4 linked regions of the Saccharomyces cerevisiae S288C genome follow. Changing the gene in region 1 together with any one later gene gives a genetic interaction. Each region holds a gene or a part of one and is shown in the gene's direction. Other genes may lie near its edges.

What was found.
Region 2: mutations in DAL81 (region 1) and ARO7 together harm fitness more than expected from each alone (negative genetic interaction), as found in Saccharomyces cerevisiae (2 studies listed by BioGRID).
Region 3: mutations in DAL81 (region 1) and BSD2 together harm fitness more than expected from each alone (negative genetic interaction), as found in Saccharomyces cerevisiae (2 studies listed by BioGRID).
Region 4: mutations in DAL81 (region 1) and HXK2 together harm fitness more than expected from each alone (negative genetic interaction), as found in Saccharomyces cerevisiae (2 studies listed by BioGRID).

What each region holds. Positions count from the first base shown.
Region 1 is NC_001141.2:397,889-403,209, forward strand, and holds DAL81 (Dal81p), read left to right. Parts: upstream 1-1,888; coding exon 1,889-4,801; downstream 4,802-5,321. Other genes in the region: MRS1 (Mrs1p), read left to right, coding at 1-497; YIR021W-A (uncharacterized protein), read left to right, coding at 626-838; signal peptidase complex catalytic subunit SEC11, read left to right, coding at 845-1,348; INA22 (Ina22p), read right to left, coding at 4,953-5,321. UniProt on the Saccharomyces cerevisiae protein: Positive regulation of genes required for catabolism of GABA (UGA4, UGA1, and UGA2), urea (DUR1 and DUR2), arginine and allantoin.
Region 2 is NC_001148.4:674,245-677,591, reverse strand, and holds ARO7 (chorismate mutase ARO7), read left to right. Parts: upstream 1-1,960; coding exon 1,961-2,731; downstream 2,732-3,347. Other genes in the region: FCY1 (cytosine deaminase), read right to left, coding at 1-427; JID1 (Jid1p), read left to right, coding at 710-1,615; YMC1 (organic acid transporter), read right to left, coding at 2,918-3,347. UniProt on the Saccharomyces cerevisiae protein: Catalyzes the Claisen rearrangement of chorismate to prephenate. Acts at the first branch point in the aromatic amino acid pathway where it steers biosynthesis towards phenylalanine and tyrosine, and away from tryptophan.
Region 3 is NC_001134.8:780,901-784,076, forward strand, and holds BSD2 (Bsd2p), read left to right. Parts: upstream 1-1,690; coding exon 1,691-2,656; downstream 2,657-3,176. Other genes in the region: SNF5 (Snf5p), read left to right, coding at 1-1,484; CTP1 (Ctp1p), read right to left, coding at 2,773-3,176. UniProt on the Saccharomyces cerevisiae protein: Required for homeostasis of heavy metal ions such as cadmium, cobalt and copper. Controls metal ion transport and prevents metal hyperaccumulation by negatively regulating the SMF1 and SMF2 metal transport systems.
Region 4 is NC_001139.9:21,959-26,011, forward strand, and holds HXK2 (hexokinase 2), read left to right. Parts: upstream 1-1,976; coding exon 1,977-3,437; downstream 3,438-4,053. Other genes in the region: high-affinity Zn(2+) transporter ZRT1, read left to right, coding at 1-150; FZF1 (Fzf1p), read left to right, coding at 346-1,245; RTG2 (Rtg2p), read right to left, coding at 3,760-4,053. UniProt on the Saccharomyces cerevisiae protein: Catalyzes the phosphorylation of hexose, such as D-glucose and D-fructose, to hexose 6-phosphate (D-glucose 6-phosphate and D-fructose 6-phosphate, respectively).

The sequences.
Region 1 (5,321 bases):
TTGACACCTTCTGGTGCGAATTGACTCCCATAAGAGTCTCATTAAAGGAAAACCCTTCCATTTCTGTACCTCGAGAATATCAGATGTACGATCCGGTGGTACGTGCCACTATAAAGGAGGTTGTCACCAAGCGATTACTGCGATCCGCCTTCGATAATGACATCGACCCGCTAATGTGTCTTCATTTGGATAAAGGCTGGAAACTTAAATTCCCCATACTATCCTCGACAACGGGCCTAAACTTCTCCCTGAAGGATTGTCTTTCCCTGGACACAGGAAAAGATGCATCTGATATGACAGAGGTGTTTCTCGCTACTATGGAGTCGAGTAAAGTTCTTCGTACGTATAGCAACCTCGTTGACATTGTGATGAAGGACAATGGTAGGTTGGACTCAGGCGTCCTAAAGCAATTCAACGACTACGTTAAGCAAGAAAAGCTCAATCTACAACATTTTCAGGCCGGTTCCTCAAAGTTTCTCAAAGGCGCAAAGATATAATCCTCTTATATAGCATGTAAATAGAAAGTACGTAAAAAAAAGCTACTATTGACTTTATTCTCCGTGAGGGCGGTTCTTTCTGTAGCTGTTGGTTTTTTCCAGATCTTATGTGACACACCTGCACAACAATGTCATTCTCTGTCAGCTGCAAGACTCCCAAGACCACGAAGCTGCTGGTATCTTCTATTTCAGAGAGCGCTGTTGCTCTTATTATTATTACCATACGTATACTTTTTTCCATTGGCAAAAGCGATTTCAAAAAAATAATCTCCAAGGAAATAAATGGTGCAGAAACAATATACTACAGAAATATACCGGAAAGTAAACCCCAAGGGAGTTAGCACAAGATGAATCTAAGATTTGAATTGCAGAAACTATTGAACGTTTGCTTTTTGTTTGCATCTGCTTACATGTTCTGGCAAGGCTTAGCCATTGCTACTAATAGCGCTTCTCCGATCGTGGTGGTGCTTTCAGGCTCCATGGAACCAGCTTTCCAAAGGGGTGATATCCTTTTCCTATGGAATAGAAATACTTTCAACCAAGTAGGTGATGTCGTGGTGTATGAGGTCGAAGGGAAACAAATCCCCATTGTGCATAGAGTTTTGAGGCAACATAACAATCACGCGGACAAGCAATTCCTCCTGACCAAAGGTGACAATAACGCCGGCAATGATATCTCACTATATGCTAATAAGAAAATTTACTTGAACAAGTCAAAGGAGATTGTAGGGACCGTCAAGGGCTACTTTCCACAACTAGGGTACATTACGATTTGGATTAGCGAGAACAAATATGCCAAGTTTGCATTGTTAGGTATGTTGGGGTTGAGTGCTCTGCTGGGGGGCGAGTAGTTCGCCAAGTTTTTTTGGAACGATGTTTACGTACTTTGTATTTGTGCTTATGGTCTTTAACTTGTTTAATTATATAACCATAACCATTCGGTCCACGCTGAAAACAAAATATTGTCTTAGGACACGCTTTGAGAATTATTGAAAAAGGAGCTCCCACAGTGATGTAGGCAATTCAACAGAGATGATTTGTGTCATTTTTTATAAGGTGATACCGTCGCTCATTAACTCGATATCTTGAAAAGGCATATGTGTCGGTAATTGAGACCGCTAGGTTTAACTTCTCGAATAAAAAATGGTCTAAGCTGCATAAGCATATAGAATTGTACAATCAGTGTATAGGTAGAGCAGAAGCAGTCCAAGATTCGAGCTAATAATACTCATATAATATCCATCGCGATGGGTATTATATGAAACATAACAATCGTACATGGTGATTGAAAATAATAGATGATAAGAATCATTTTCAAATAATAGTGTAGATCTTAAAAACTCTTGGCCTGTTTAGACGAGCGGCAGAACGACAGGCAGCCATACTATCAAATGGACCCTCACCAATCACCAGCTGATAATGCCGCATCGCCTACGAAGAGCGTGAAGGCAACCACTAAAAATTCGTCCACGAATAATAATGTCAATAGCAACAACAGCAATAATAACAGTAACCATGATATACTGAATTTTAATGATAACTATACTACCATTCTGCAACATTTGGCAAACGACCATCCTAATATACTGAGGGAGAAAGGAGGATCACAACAACAACAGCATCAGCAGCAGCAACAACAGCAACAACAGCAGCAACAACAGCAGCAACAACAGAGCCTGGATACCCTTTTGCACCATTATCAAAGTTTACTCTCCAAGAGTGATAATGCAATAGCCTTTGATGACAATGTTAGTAACAGCGCAGATCATAATGGCAGTAATAGCAACAATAATAACAACAATAATGACATATCTAGTCCCGGTAATCTGATGGGATCTTGCAATCAATGTAGATTAAAGAAAACAAAGTGCAACTATTTTCCCGACCTAGGCAACTGTCTCGAATGTGAAACGTCAAGAACTAAATGCACCTTCAGTATTGCTCCAAATTATTTGAAAAGAACGTCCTCTGGGGCAAACAATAACATGCCAACCTCTTCAAACTCCAAACGAATGAAAAATTTTGAAGACTATTCGAATCGCTTACCCAGTAGCATGCTCTATAGACATCAACAGCAGCAGCAACAGCAACAGCAGCAACAGCGTATACAATACCCCAGATCCTCTTTTTTCGTCGGTCCGGCCTCAGTTTTCGATTTGAACTTGACCAAGCATGTAAGACTAGATAATGTTGACCAAATACAGCTATCAAAAACTTTATCATTAAGAAAGGTGTCTCCTACCGCACAGTTTATTCTTCAGGACGATTTTGACACGACCCTTCATAGTAAGCAAGAATACGAAGTTGATTTGGTCGAAAATCTGGTACATCCGCACGGTCACCTTTTAGTAGAGATTTTCTTCAAATTGATTCATCCTTTTCTTCCAATTTTACACGAACGTGTATTTTTGGAAAAGTATTCTAGATCTTATAGAGAACTCACTGCGCCTTTACTGGCATCCATTTACTCACTGGCATTACAATATTGGGATTTTCATCCTGCACTTTTGGGGTTCCCTAAACCCGATGTAACTGCTCAACTAAACAATATCGCATTGGAAACATTTTATGCTCGAGTTGGAAGGCCAAAATTGAGCATTATACAAACAGGCCTTTTGATTTTGCAATGCCGTAGTGAATGTCATAACAACTGGGTCCTCTGCTCCAGCGTAGTGGCCCTTGCAGAGGAATTGGGGCTCGGGGTTGAATGTAATGATTGGAAACTTCCCAAATGGGAAAAAGATTTGAGAAAGAGATTAGCGTGGGCAGTTTGGTTGATGGATAAATGGTGTGCATTAAACGAAGGTAGACAATCCCATTTAATTTTAGGTAGGAACTGGATGATCAAGCTATTAAACTTTGATGATTTTCCTCTGAATTCGCCCACTATTTTAAATTCCTTGCAAAATGACCAGTCGGGGTCTTCACCCTCGTCATCAAATGATGTGAAAAACCATCAGATAGCATTTGGTAACTTGCCCATATTTAACATAAACCCCACTTTAGAAGATTTCAAGAATGGAACGCTTATGTTTCAACAAATGGTTTCCTTGAGTATAATTCTTGGGGAAATCATGGACACATTTTACACTCAGGGATCCATGACAATAAACAAAAGCATTGAACAGGTATTGAAACTGGCAAAGCCGTTGCAACTGAAATTAAGAGAATGGTACCATTCCCTACCCAAGAATTTGTCAATGAGTTATGCCACGCCACAAAAATTGAACTCAAATTCAACTTTAACTCTAGCTTATTTTGCCACGGAAATTACGTTACATAGGAAAATTATCTGTGCCTTGAATCCTCAAACTCCAAAGGAACTGGTTCAAGTATGCAGGACTGCTGCAAGAACCAGGCTTGTAGCAGCAATTGAATTTATAAGAGATCTAAAAAACGAACATATTAATGCTTTTTGGTATAACTGCTCAACTGGAAATCTGATGCTAATTGGAACATTTGCTGCCCTGCTGTATGTGACTTCAGCTACGAAGGAAGAGGCTATGATTTTCAGAGATTATGTTAGAAATTATACCTGGGTATTGAAGATAGGTTCCAAATACTTTGATAAACTATCGAATGCTTTGAATAATATGCATTTACTATTTGCACAAATTCCTGGTCTTCTGACCGATGAACCGGTGGTCGTGAGCCCTAACTCTAACATCAATTCCGTTAACCCACAAAGGTCAGGTGTACAATCGCAAATCCCAATACAATTTAACGTGGGATCACCTGCCATGACCGAGCAAGGATCTCCTTTAAACCAGTGGAAGAATTTGCCCCAGGAAATCTTGCAACAACTAAACTCCTTTCCCAACGGTACGACCAGTACAACAACGCCAGTAAACCCCACTTCCAGACAAACACAACTAGAATCGCAGGGAAGTCCAGCCATAAATAGTGCTAATAATAATAGCAACAACACGCCTTTACCATTTGCGCCAAATAAGTCTTCTAAAAAAACTTCACAATCTTCACCAAATGTTACGCCCTCTCATATGAGCAGACACCCCCCCTCTAATACATCTTCACCAAGAGTCAATTCCAGCACAAATGTCAACTCTAATACACAAATGAATGCTTCTCCCTTGACCTCAATTAACGAAACCAGACAAGAGTCAGGTGACGCTGCAGATGAAAAAACAGCAGGAAGAGAAAGAACCGCCAACGAGGAATCATCAACGGAACTCAAGGACGATAATCCAAACTCGAACCAGGAAACAAGCGCAACTGGTAACCAAACTATAAAAATGAATGATGATAAAAATGTAACAATTAACACAAGGGAAACCCCTCTGTAATATAAATAATAGCACATAAGTAAAAATGGAATACGGTAATAACTATATAGAAATATCTTCTGCAGGACCAAGGTTACTGAGTGGTGAATGTAAAATTATTTATTCGCTTGCGTTATATTTACATGTGGTATATCCGGATGCATAGAGCCTACTATAGAAATTTTGGGATTTTATCATGTTCTTTGGCGATTTCATTCAAATCACCTGGTTGGTTCATCATCATATGGACATCACCACTTAGGTAAACCTTTTCATCTTCTTTTTTCGACTTTTCTAAATCTTTTAGAACATTCAAATCAGTGACAATCCCTTCTTTGTTCTTAACGCCAGCATCTGGAGTTTTTTCGATTACTTCTTTTTTTGCCTCGTCTATTATACTTTGCCAGATCTCTTCCAATGACTCTTCCTTAGGAACCACAATATCAGTCTCATCTTCCTTCATCCCAGTTGCGTTCTTGCCGACGATTCCTAAACGCAAATTCACAAGTTTCAATTCATCATCTGCGTCGAAGTCTACCTT
Region 2 (3,347 bases), on another chromosome or scaffold:
GTTTCATGATCTTTTTACACCTCTCATCGTCAACAACAACAACCTCGTGACCTCTAGTTTGTAAATATTTCTCGCCCTTACTTTTGAAATTAACGTTCTCACCGACAACACAGCGTGGAATACCATACATGATGATGGCACCTGTACACATGTCGCATGGAGACAGCGTCGTATACAAAGTGGTATCTTTGTACACTTTGCCCTCTAATCTCCCACAGTTTTCCAAAGTGGAGATCTCACCATGTAGTGTGGCGGATCCCTTTTGAAATCTCATGTTGTGACCACGACCGAGAACACTTCCGTCTTTGTTATTGATAAGACATCCGCCAATAGGAACACCACCCTCTTTGTAACCTAAGGCCGCCTCCTCATAGGCAATGTCCATACCCTTCTGATCCCACTTGCTTGCCATTCCCCCTGTCACCATTAGCTATGAAATTTTTAACTCTTTAAGCTGGCTCTCATCAACATAAAACAATGGCTTGTAGATCTCATTGTCGAATTGAAAATGAACTTTTTAATTTCGCAAAAAAAAAAAGAAAAGTTCAGGGTCTCCGGGTACTACCGCCCCTGCAAGGAATGACCGGTGATAATGGAAGAGAAGATATTACAGCGACAGTATAATTAACAAACACGTTGTGTCTTTAGGCTCGTAACTAACTGTACGTATATCTACACACCATAGGTCACTACTTGCAATATATTTGTTATGCTACACCATAAGTTCGTATACCCATTTTTATTCAAGTGGCACTTATCATGTGTAGAAAAGTGTCCCCCACAAATCACTTTTATAGCTAAGTATGCTACAGCGAACGATAAAAATGGCAATAGAAAACTTACGATAAGGGATGAACAATGGCCTGAGTTGGCAGATCCAACTCCCTATGATATTTTTGGCATTCCAAAGGCCGGATCTGGAAATCCTAAACTGGACAAGAAGTCGTTAAAAAAAAAATATCATCGTTATGTAAAATTGTACCACCCTGACCATTCCGATAACATTCAAATATTTAGCTCAGAAAAGGTTACCAACAGTGATAGTAAATCACCGCTGCTGCTAACATCAAGCGAAAAACTACATAGATTTAAAGTCATCTCTCAAGCATATGATATTCTTTGTGACCCAAAGAAAAAGATCGTATATGACACAACGAGGCAAGGCTGGACCACATCGTATTCACCACGTTCTAACGTTAATACTGAAAATTACCAATATGCCGGCTCTTATGGCTACCACTCTAACGCGCAGTATGAATACTGGAACGCTGGGACTTGGGAAGACGCAAATAGCATGAAAAACGAAAGAATTCAAGAAAACATCAACCCATGGACCGTTATTGGCATAATTTGTGGCCTAGCTATATGCATCGAAGGGACTGCGTTGTTAGCCAAAATCCAGGAGTCTCTGAGCAAGGCCGAATTTACTCATGACGAAAGTGGATTACATTTGATTCAGTCATACACGAATTATGGTCTTGATACTGACAAATTTTCCAGATTGAGGCGGTTCTTATGGTTTAGAACTTGGGGACTTTACAAGTCGAAAGAGGATTTAGATAGAGAAGCCAAGATCAATGAAGAAATGATACGCAAACTGAAAGCAGCTAAATGAAATCACCTATTGCGCCGCTCGCGGAATACAATTACTAAATTTTATATATATTCTTTAAAAATGCATCTATACATTCGTTTTTCCACGTATACCAAATTCGAAAAAAGTTGTTAAACCATCGTTTTCACGTTTTTTAATTTTTTTTTGGTTCTCTTTTTTTTTTTTTTTCAATATCAACTTTTTTTCAAACTTCGTGTTGCATTTCCTTTATCGTAAATTTTCAATGGATCTCTATAATCTTCGAAGTTCGAAGAAAAGAAGAAAAAAAGTATTGAAAAGTTGAAACATCGATTCCGTTTTGCTAACAAATAGCACTCAGCATCCTGCATAAAATTGGTATAAGATATGGATTTCACAAAACCAGAAACTGTTTTAAATCTACAAAATATTAGAGATGAATTAGTTAGAATGGAGGATTCGATCATCTTCAAATTTATTGAGAGGTCGCATTTCGCCACATGTCCTTCAGTTTATGAGGCAAACCATCCAGGTTTAGAAATTCCGAATTTTAAAGGATCTTTCTTGGATTGGGCTCTTTCAAATCTTGAAATTGCGCATTCTCGCATCAGAAGATTCGAATCACCTGATGAAACTCCCTTCTTTCCTGACAAGATTCAGAAATCATTCTTACCGAGCATTAACTACCCACAAATTTTGGCGCCTTATGCCCCAGAAGTTAATTACAATGATAAAATAAAAAAAGTTTATATTGAAAAGATTATACCATTAATTTCGAAAAGAGATGGTGATGATAAGAATAACTTCGGTTCTGTTGCCACTAGAGATATAGAATGTTTGCAAAGCTTGAGTAGGAGAATCCACTTTGGCAAGTTTGTTGCTGAAGCCAAGTTCCAATCGGATATCCCGCTATACACAAAGCTGATCAAAAGTAAAGATGTCGAGGGGATAATGAAGAATATCACCAATTCTGCCGTTGAAGAAAAGATTCTAGAAAGATTAACTAAGAAGGCTGAAGTCTATGGTGTGGACCCTACCAACGAGTCAGGTGAAAGAAGGATTACTCCAGAATATTTGGTAAAAATTTATAAGGAAATTGTTATACCTATCACTAAGGAAGTTGAGGTGGAATACTTGCTAAGAAGGTTGGAAGAGTAAGCATGAAGGCTATCACGGTAACAATTCCACATTGCCGAGTGATTACTACGCATATATAAACACACACACTCACCATATATATGTACGCATAGTAGCATCTATTGAATATAAGAAGATAGAGTTTCAAGTTATACATTATATTGTACTATTTTCTTAAACGATGGCTCATAAATTCTATAGGAATTATCAACCCAATAACCTCATCGCTAATTCAAAAGTAGCAAAAGTGGCACCATTGGCGGGAGCAGCTCTTAGCATGGTAGGACCAAACCCTTTGAAAAAAGCGCCTATCCCTCCATTGGCATATAAAGTCTTGGCTACACTGGAAATAGAATTACCAAATTTAGGCTTTTGTAAATTATCCGTTTGCATGACAGACTTGATGACATCTAATGGATATACCATCAACCATAAGGCAGTGCCAGACAATGCTCCAAAAATACAAAGTTTCCATGCAGGAATGTCCTTTCTCTCTAGTCCACGTCTTTTGTTCATTTGGTTAGCAATCAACGCTTCATACACTAAGAAATATGTGCCACATCCATGACCTTCTCTCAATATTGTAGGTGTTAAACCACGTAGCAAGGCCTTGTTATGTCTTAATTTTTTGATGCAT
Region 3 (3,176 bases), on another chromosome or scaffold:
ACTCAGGGTATGGTAATGGGATTACGAATACAACTACCAGAGTTATTCCACAAGTAGAAGTTGGAAATAGGAAGCATTACCTAGAGGATAAATTAAAAGTCTATAAACAGGCCATGAATGAGACATCGGAACAGTTAGTTCCCATAAGATTGGAGTTCGATCAAGATCGTGACAGATTCTTCCTCAGGGACACTTTGTTATGGAACAAAAATGACAAGCTTATTAAAATTGAAGACTTTGTGGACGACATGTTGCGAGATTACCGATTTGAGGACGCTACGAGAGAGCAACACATTGATACTATTTGTCAATCTATACAAGAGCAGATTCAGGAGTTTCAAGGAAATCCATATATAGAGTTGAATCAGGACCGTCTAGGCGGTGATGACTTGAGAATTAGAATCAAGCTGGATATTGTCGTGGGACAAAACCAGTTAATCGATCAATTTGAGTGGGACATCTCTAATAGTGATAACTGTCCAGAAGAGTTTGCAGAGTCCATGTGTCAAGAATTAGAACTACCAGGTGAGTTTGTGACTGCCATTGCTCACTCCATAAGAGAGCAAGTTCATATGTATCATAAATCACTGGCACTGTTAGGTTACAATTTTGATGGATCAGCGATAGAAGATGATGACATTAGAAGCAGAATGCTCCCAACGATTACTCTTGATGATGTTTATAGGCCTGCAGCGGAAAGCAAAATTTTTACTCCAAACCTATTACAGATTTCAGCTGCAGAGTTAGAGAGATTGGATAAAGATAAGGACAGAGACACAAGAAGGAAAAGAAGACAAGGTAGATCTAATAGACGTGGTATGCTCGCATTGTCCGGCACATCTGCAAGTAATACATCTATGAACGGCGTTCACAACACAGTAGCAGCAGGAAATGCTTCATCGTTGCCACCAGGAGAGATTTTACTGCCAGATATTGCAGATATTCCAAGAACTTTCAGGACTCCAGTACCTAGCACTTTAATGCCTGGTGGTGTTGACGTAGGCCCTTCTGTGGAATCGTACGAATTGAGAAACACAACCACTTATAAAAGCAGGCCAGATAGACCTAAGCCAGTTTCACCTCCTTGTTATATTATTGACCATATTCCGGGTCATTCGCTACTACTTTCTATTAAACTGCCTGGGAAAGTTAATACAAAAGAAGAGTTCGCAGCAGCGCCCAATGACACAAGTAGTGGCACCAATGCAATGCTTCCGAGTCCAGAATCGCTGAAAACTAAGCTGAATAGTAACATTCGCGCTGGTGTGACGATACCTTCAATCCCAAACCCGATTGCCAATCACACTGTTACTAATTCACCCAATCCCACACTGCAGCCAGTAATCCCAGGTGGGGCAGCTAGTAAATCGGTACCTACACCTAGTCTTCCTATAGCACCTCCAGTAGCACCACATGATAGCGAAGCGACATTGTTGACTAATAGCAATAATGGTAGCAGTAACAATAACACACAGAATACATAGAAAATATATACACATATATAAAATATACCGGAGATGTAAATAACCGTGGAAGAATTTGTATTATCATCGTGTTATACGATGCGGAGTCCCTTTGCGCCTACTTTTTTTAGAAGAATAGTACATAACCTTTATAAAAATCTTCCAATTTAGATACATAAAAAGAGCATGAGAATAACAAGAACACGTAGTCTAGGAAACTAAGCGCTATGCCAGAGCAAGAACTACTTATAGGGCAAGAAATGAATACACTTCATGCAGGTTCATCTACTGATGGCATAAATGTCGGAAACGCAGGACGAACTAGAGACACACAAACTGGCGTAGAAGGGGAAACGGAAATAGGGTCTGACGAGGAAGATAGCATAGAGGACGAGGGAAGCAGCAGTGGAGGAAATAGTACGACAGAAAGACTAGTACCACACCAGCTGAGGGAACAAGCAGCCAGACATATAGGAAAAATAGGAAGACATTTTAATATTCTTGATAGACTTTTTAAGAAACGTACACAACAGTCTTCGGATATACAACAAGGTGCCATGTTTGATGGTGTCTTTAGCAATTTAAGCGCAAAACCAGATACCACAGAGACTGAAGGTAATAACGAACAAGACATACCACCTACATACGACGAAGCTGCTGCTGATATGGCCCCCTCGTATTATGGAATGGATTTGAACAATTCAGATATCTACTACGACGAAATATGCATTGAGGGGCTTCCTGTAGGAAATATAGCAAATTTATTATGGAATATCATCGTAAGCACGAGTTTTCAGTTCATTGGATTTTTAATAACCTACATTTTACACACATCTCACGCAGCAAAGCAAGGTTCAAGGTTTGGATTAGGGTTAACGTTCATTGGATATGGTTATTCAATGATTCCCAATGATGTTACTTCAAAAGTCGGCAAAAATAAAAGCTTAAATAGAATGGAATTAGAGGATCCAAATGAATTCGATGATGTTCGTCTAAATTCACAATCAACGACACAAGATAAATTTGAATCACATTTGAATCACGGTCTGGATGAAGAAAAACAAAACATACCATGGTTGGCTGTTTTTGTGGCATTTCTTGGGCTATTTATCACCCTGAAGAGTATATACGACTACATTCAAGTCAAAAAATTGGAAAAGAAATACCTCAACCAAAGTCAAAATCAAGCATAAGCCATCTTCTTCATTATGATAAAAAGAGATATATAACTTTTTTAAGTGATCGGCTGGTAAATAGACTTATAACGAGTAGAAAACATTAGATGATATATTGTACACAATAATACATTTCAGGCTAGCATAACTAAGACCTTTTCATAGATAGTGAAAACAATACCACCACTCAAGACCAATCTCCCAAGTCTAGGCGTAGCACCTTTCCAAAACGTCTTTAACCCTTCTTCTTTGAAAATGGTTGCAAAACAATTCATTGTAGAGGAGTATTTGGTGGAATCCAAACTTTGCATTCTTGTTTTCACAGTATCAAGGGGCATGGTGGAATAGACCGTCACAATACCACTAAATGCACCCACTAAGAAGGTTAACCCGGATGATAAAGGTTTGTCTTTTGGCGAATCCGTATAATCTTGGATCAAGGTCTTAATCTTATTGTAACAACCCAATCTAACGGCTTGGTTTGCGGCCTGTCTCATGGAAACTGGCAAAACACCACGATAAAGACCAGAAAATCCTT
Region 4 (4,053 bases), on another chromosome or scaffold:
ATCTTATTGTACACTGGTTTGGTTGAACTACTAGCAAGAGACTTTATATTCAATCCTCAAAGAACAAAGGATCTAAGAGAATTGTCCTTCAACGTTATATGCACTCTTTTCGGTGCTGGTATCATGGCTTTGATCGGTAAGTGGGCTTAAACCAAAGCGAAATTCTGCATGTTCCATATAGATTCTATTTCATATTTTATAGTTATTTATTCTTTAGTAATAGCAAAAAAACAGTAATAATTTTTCTTTAACAGTCTCGGACAATAAATACGCTAAAGAAGATGAAAATGACAACTTTTACGCTGGTGTGCACAAGTGGTACCAGAATACGTGGCCACCAAAACAATGACGGATATAGGGAGAACCAAGTCTAGAAATTACAAATGTTCTTTTGACGGTTGTGAGAAAGTCTACAACAGACCTAGTTTGCTTCAGCAACACCAAAATTCGCATACCAATCAAAAGCCGTATCATTGTGATGAGCCGGGATGTGGCAAAAAATTTATAAGACCGTGCCATCTACGAGTTCACAAATGGACTCATTCACAAATCAAGCCCAAAGCGTGCACATTATGTCAAAAAAGATTTGTCACAAATCAGCAATTAAGAAGGCATTTAAATAGTCATGAAAGAAAAAGCAAGCTTGCATCAAGAATTGACCGTAAACACGAAGGAGTGAATGCGAATGTGAAAGCAGAACTCAATGGCAAGGAGGGAGGTTTTGACCCAAAATTACCTTCCGGCTCTCCAATGTGTGGTGAAGAATTCTCGCAAGGTCATTTGCCTGGATATGATGACATGCAAGTGCTACAATGCCCATACAAATCATGTCAAAAAGTTACCAGCTTCAATGACGATCTAATAAATCATATGTTGCAACATCATATAGCAAGTAAGCTTGTTGTACCATCTGGAGATCCATCTCTGAAGGAATCGCTTCCAACCTCTGAGAAATCCAGCAGCACCGACACTACATCCATTCCACAACTTTCATTTAGCACTACTGGGACAAGCAGTAGTGAAAGCGTTGATAGCACTACGGCACAAACCCCAACTGATCCAGAGAGTTACTGGTCGGATAACCGGTGCAAACATAGTGATTGTCAAGAGCTTAGTCCATTCGCATCTGTATTTGATCTCATTGACCACTATGACCACACGCACGCCTTCATTCCTGAGACGCTGGTAAAGTACAGCTACATTCATTTATATAAGCCTAGCGTCTGGGATTTATTCGAATACTGAACGCCATAGAAGAGCAATTTCCGTCCTCTACTCATGTGATTCGAACTATGAAACAAAGAAAAGGCAAGAGTAAATAGCGTGATACCTATTACGTATTACGTATACATCCTATTATTCTTGAAAAAAAGTGCGGGGCTCCAGAGCTCCACATTGGTGACCCCAGAGTATACTGCTCTTTCTAATGCCTTTTCCATCATGTTACTACGAGTTTTCTGAACCTCCTCGCACATTGGTACCTAGAAATGGCTATCATGCCGGACGGCACCGGGCAATAAACCGGACGGCACAAAAAAATCGAAGAAAAGAGATTTCTTTTTCTCGCGGGCAGTTTTTCCGGTCGATCGACATTCGTACGGTACTTTCTCTGTTTCAGGGACATCATGTTGTAAAAGAAAAAGACAGTTTAGGTAATCGTTCTTTTCTTTCTGAAAAATTTTCCACGACGACGACGACGACCACGAAACACCTTTGATTGCGAGATCCACGAAATTACCTCCTGCTGAGGCGAGCTTGCAAATATCGTGTCCAATTCCGTGATGTCTCTTTGTTGCACCTTCGCCACTGTCTTATCTACAAAACTATAAAAAAGAGTAATCCTACCCCATATCTAAAAAAAATTCCTTAACTTTTATAACTTAACTTCAAAGTTTCTTAATATTTTTTCGCTTTTTCTTTGAAAAGGTTGTAGGAATATAATTCTCCACACATAATAAGTACGCTAATTAAATAAAATGGTTCATTTAGGTCCAAAAAAACCACAAGCCAGAAAGGGTTCCATGGCCGATGTGCCAAAGGAATTGATGCAACAAATTGAGAATTTTGAAAAAATTTTCACTGTTCCAACTGAAACTTTACAAGCCGTTACCAAGCACTTCATTTCCGAATTGGAAAAGGGTTTGTCCAAGAAGGGTGGTAACATTCCAATGATTCCAGGTTGGGTTATGGATTTCCCAACTGGTAAGGAATCCGGTGATTTCTTGGCCATTGATTTGGGTGGTACCAACTTGAGAGTTGTCTTAGTCAAGTTGGGCGGTGACCGTACCTTTGACACCACTCAATCTAAGTACAGATTACCAGATGCTATGAGAACTACTCAAAATCCAGACGAATTGTGGGAATTTATTGCCGACTCTTTGAAAGCTTTTATTGATGAGCAATTCCCACAAGGTATCTCTGAGCCAATTCCATTGGGTTTCACCTTTTCTTTCCCAGCTTCTCAAAACAAAATCAATGAAGGTATCTTGCAAAGATGGACTAAAGGTTTTGATATTCCAAACATTGAAAACCACGATGTTGTTCCAATGTTGCAAAAGCAAATCACTAAGAGGAATATCCCAATTGAAGTTGTTGCTTTGATAAACGACACTACCGGTACTTTGGTTGCTTCTTACTACACTGACCCAGAAACTAAGATGGGTGTTATCTTCGGTACTGGTGTCAATGGTGCTTACTACGATGTTTGTTCCGATATCGAAAAGCTACAAGGAAAACTATCTGATGACATTCCACCATCTGCTCCAATGGCCATCAACTGTGAATACGGTTCCTTCGATAATGAACATGTCGTTTTGCCAAGAACTAAATACGATATCACCATTGATGAAGAATCTCCAAGACCAGGCCAACAAACCTTTGAAAAAATGTCTTCTGGTTACTACTTAGGTGAAATTTTGCGTTTGGCCTTGATGGACATGTACAAACAAGGTTTCATCTTCAAGAACCAAGACTTGTCTAAGTTCGACAAGCCTTTCGTCATGGACACTTCTTACCCAGCCAGAATCGAGGAAGATCCATTCGAGAACCTAGAAGATACCGATGACTTGTTCCAAAATGAGTTCGGTATCAACACTACTGTTCAAGAACGTAAATTGATCAGACGTTTATCTGAATTGATTGGTGCTAGAGCTGCTAGATTGTCCGTTTGTGGTATTGCTGCTATCTGTCAAAAGAGAGGTTACAAGACCGGTCACATCGCTGCAGACGGTTCCGTTTACAACAGATACCCAGGTTTCAAAGAAAAGGCTGCCAATGCTTTGAAGGACATTTACGGCTGGACTCAAACCTCACTAGACGACTACCCAATCAAGATTGTTCCTGCTGAAGATGGTTCCGGTGCTGGTGCCGCTGTTATTGCTGCTTTGGCCCAAAAAAGAATTGCTGAAGGTAAGTCCGTTGGTATCATCGGTGCTTAAACTTAATTTGTAAATTAAGTTTGAACAACAAGAAGGTGCCCTTTTTCTACTTATGTGAACATGTTTTCTATGATCTTTTTTTTTCTTACTTTTACAACTGTGATATTGTATAAACTTTGTTAGAAATTCACGGGATTTATTCGTGACGATAAATATTTATATAGACAAAGAATATGACGATTTATGAAATCTACATGATTTTAGTTTCTTTTAACAATTGCTCGTTTTTTTCTCTTGCTTAATTTTAAATTTTTTTGGTAGTAAAAGATGCTTATATAAGGATTTCGTATTTATTGTTCAAGTATTTAAAGACTAGATGTCTTTATTCTTCATAAAATTGCACGCCAATTTTAACCCTCTCTACACTTCCTCTAGATAGCTTGCGTACTTTCTTTTGTAGCGTGATAATTCTGGAACGAACGGAAGCACTTGTTTTAAGATCGTCCTTACTAATTCTCACAACCACTTCATACCCGCGATTTTTACGCGTGGATTCTTCTTTTACCTTTGTAGTGTTTGCATCATCAATGATTAATTCTTTTAAACTGGTCTCCACCTCACTACGCTTAGAAACATGGAAATCAAATACGTTATCTCTGATATTACCACCTGGATG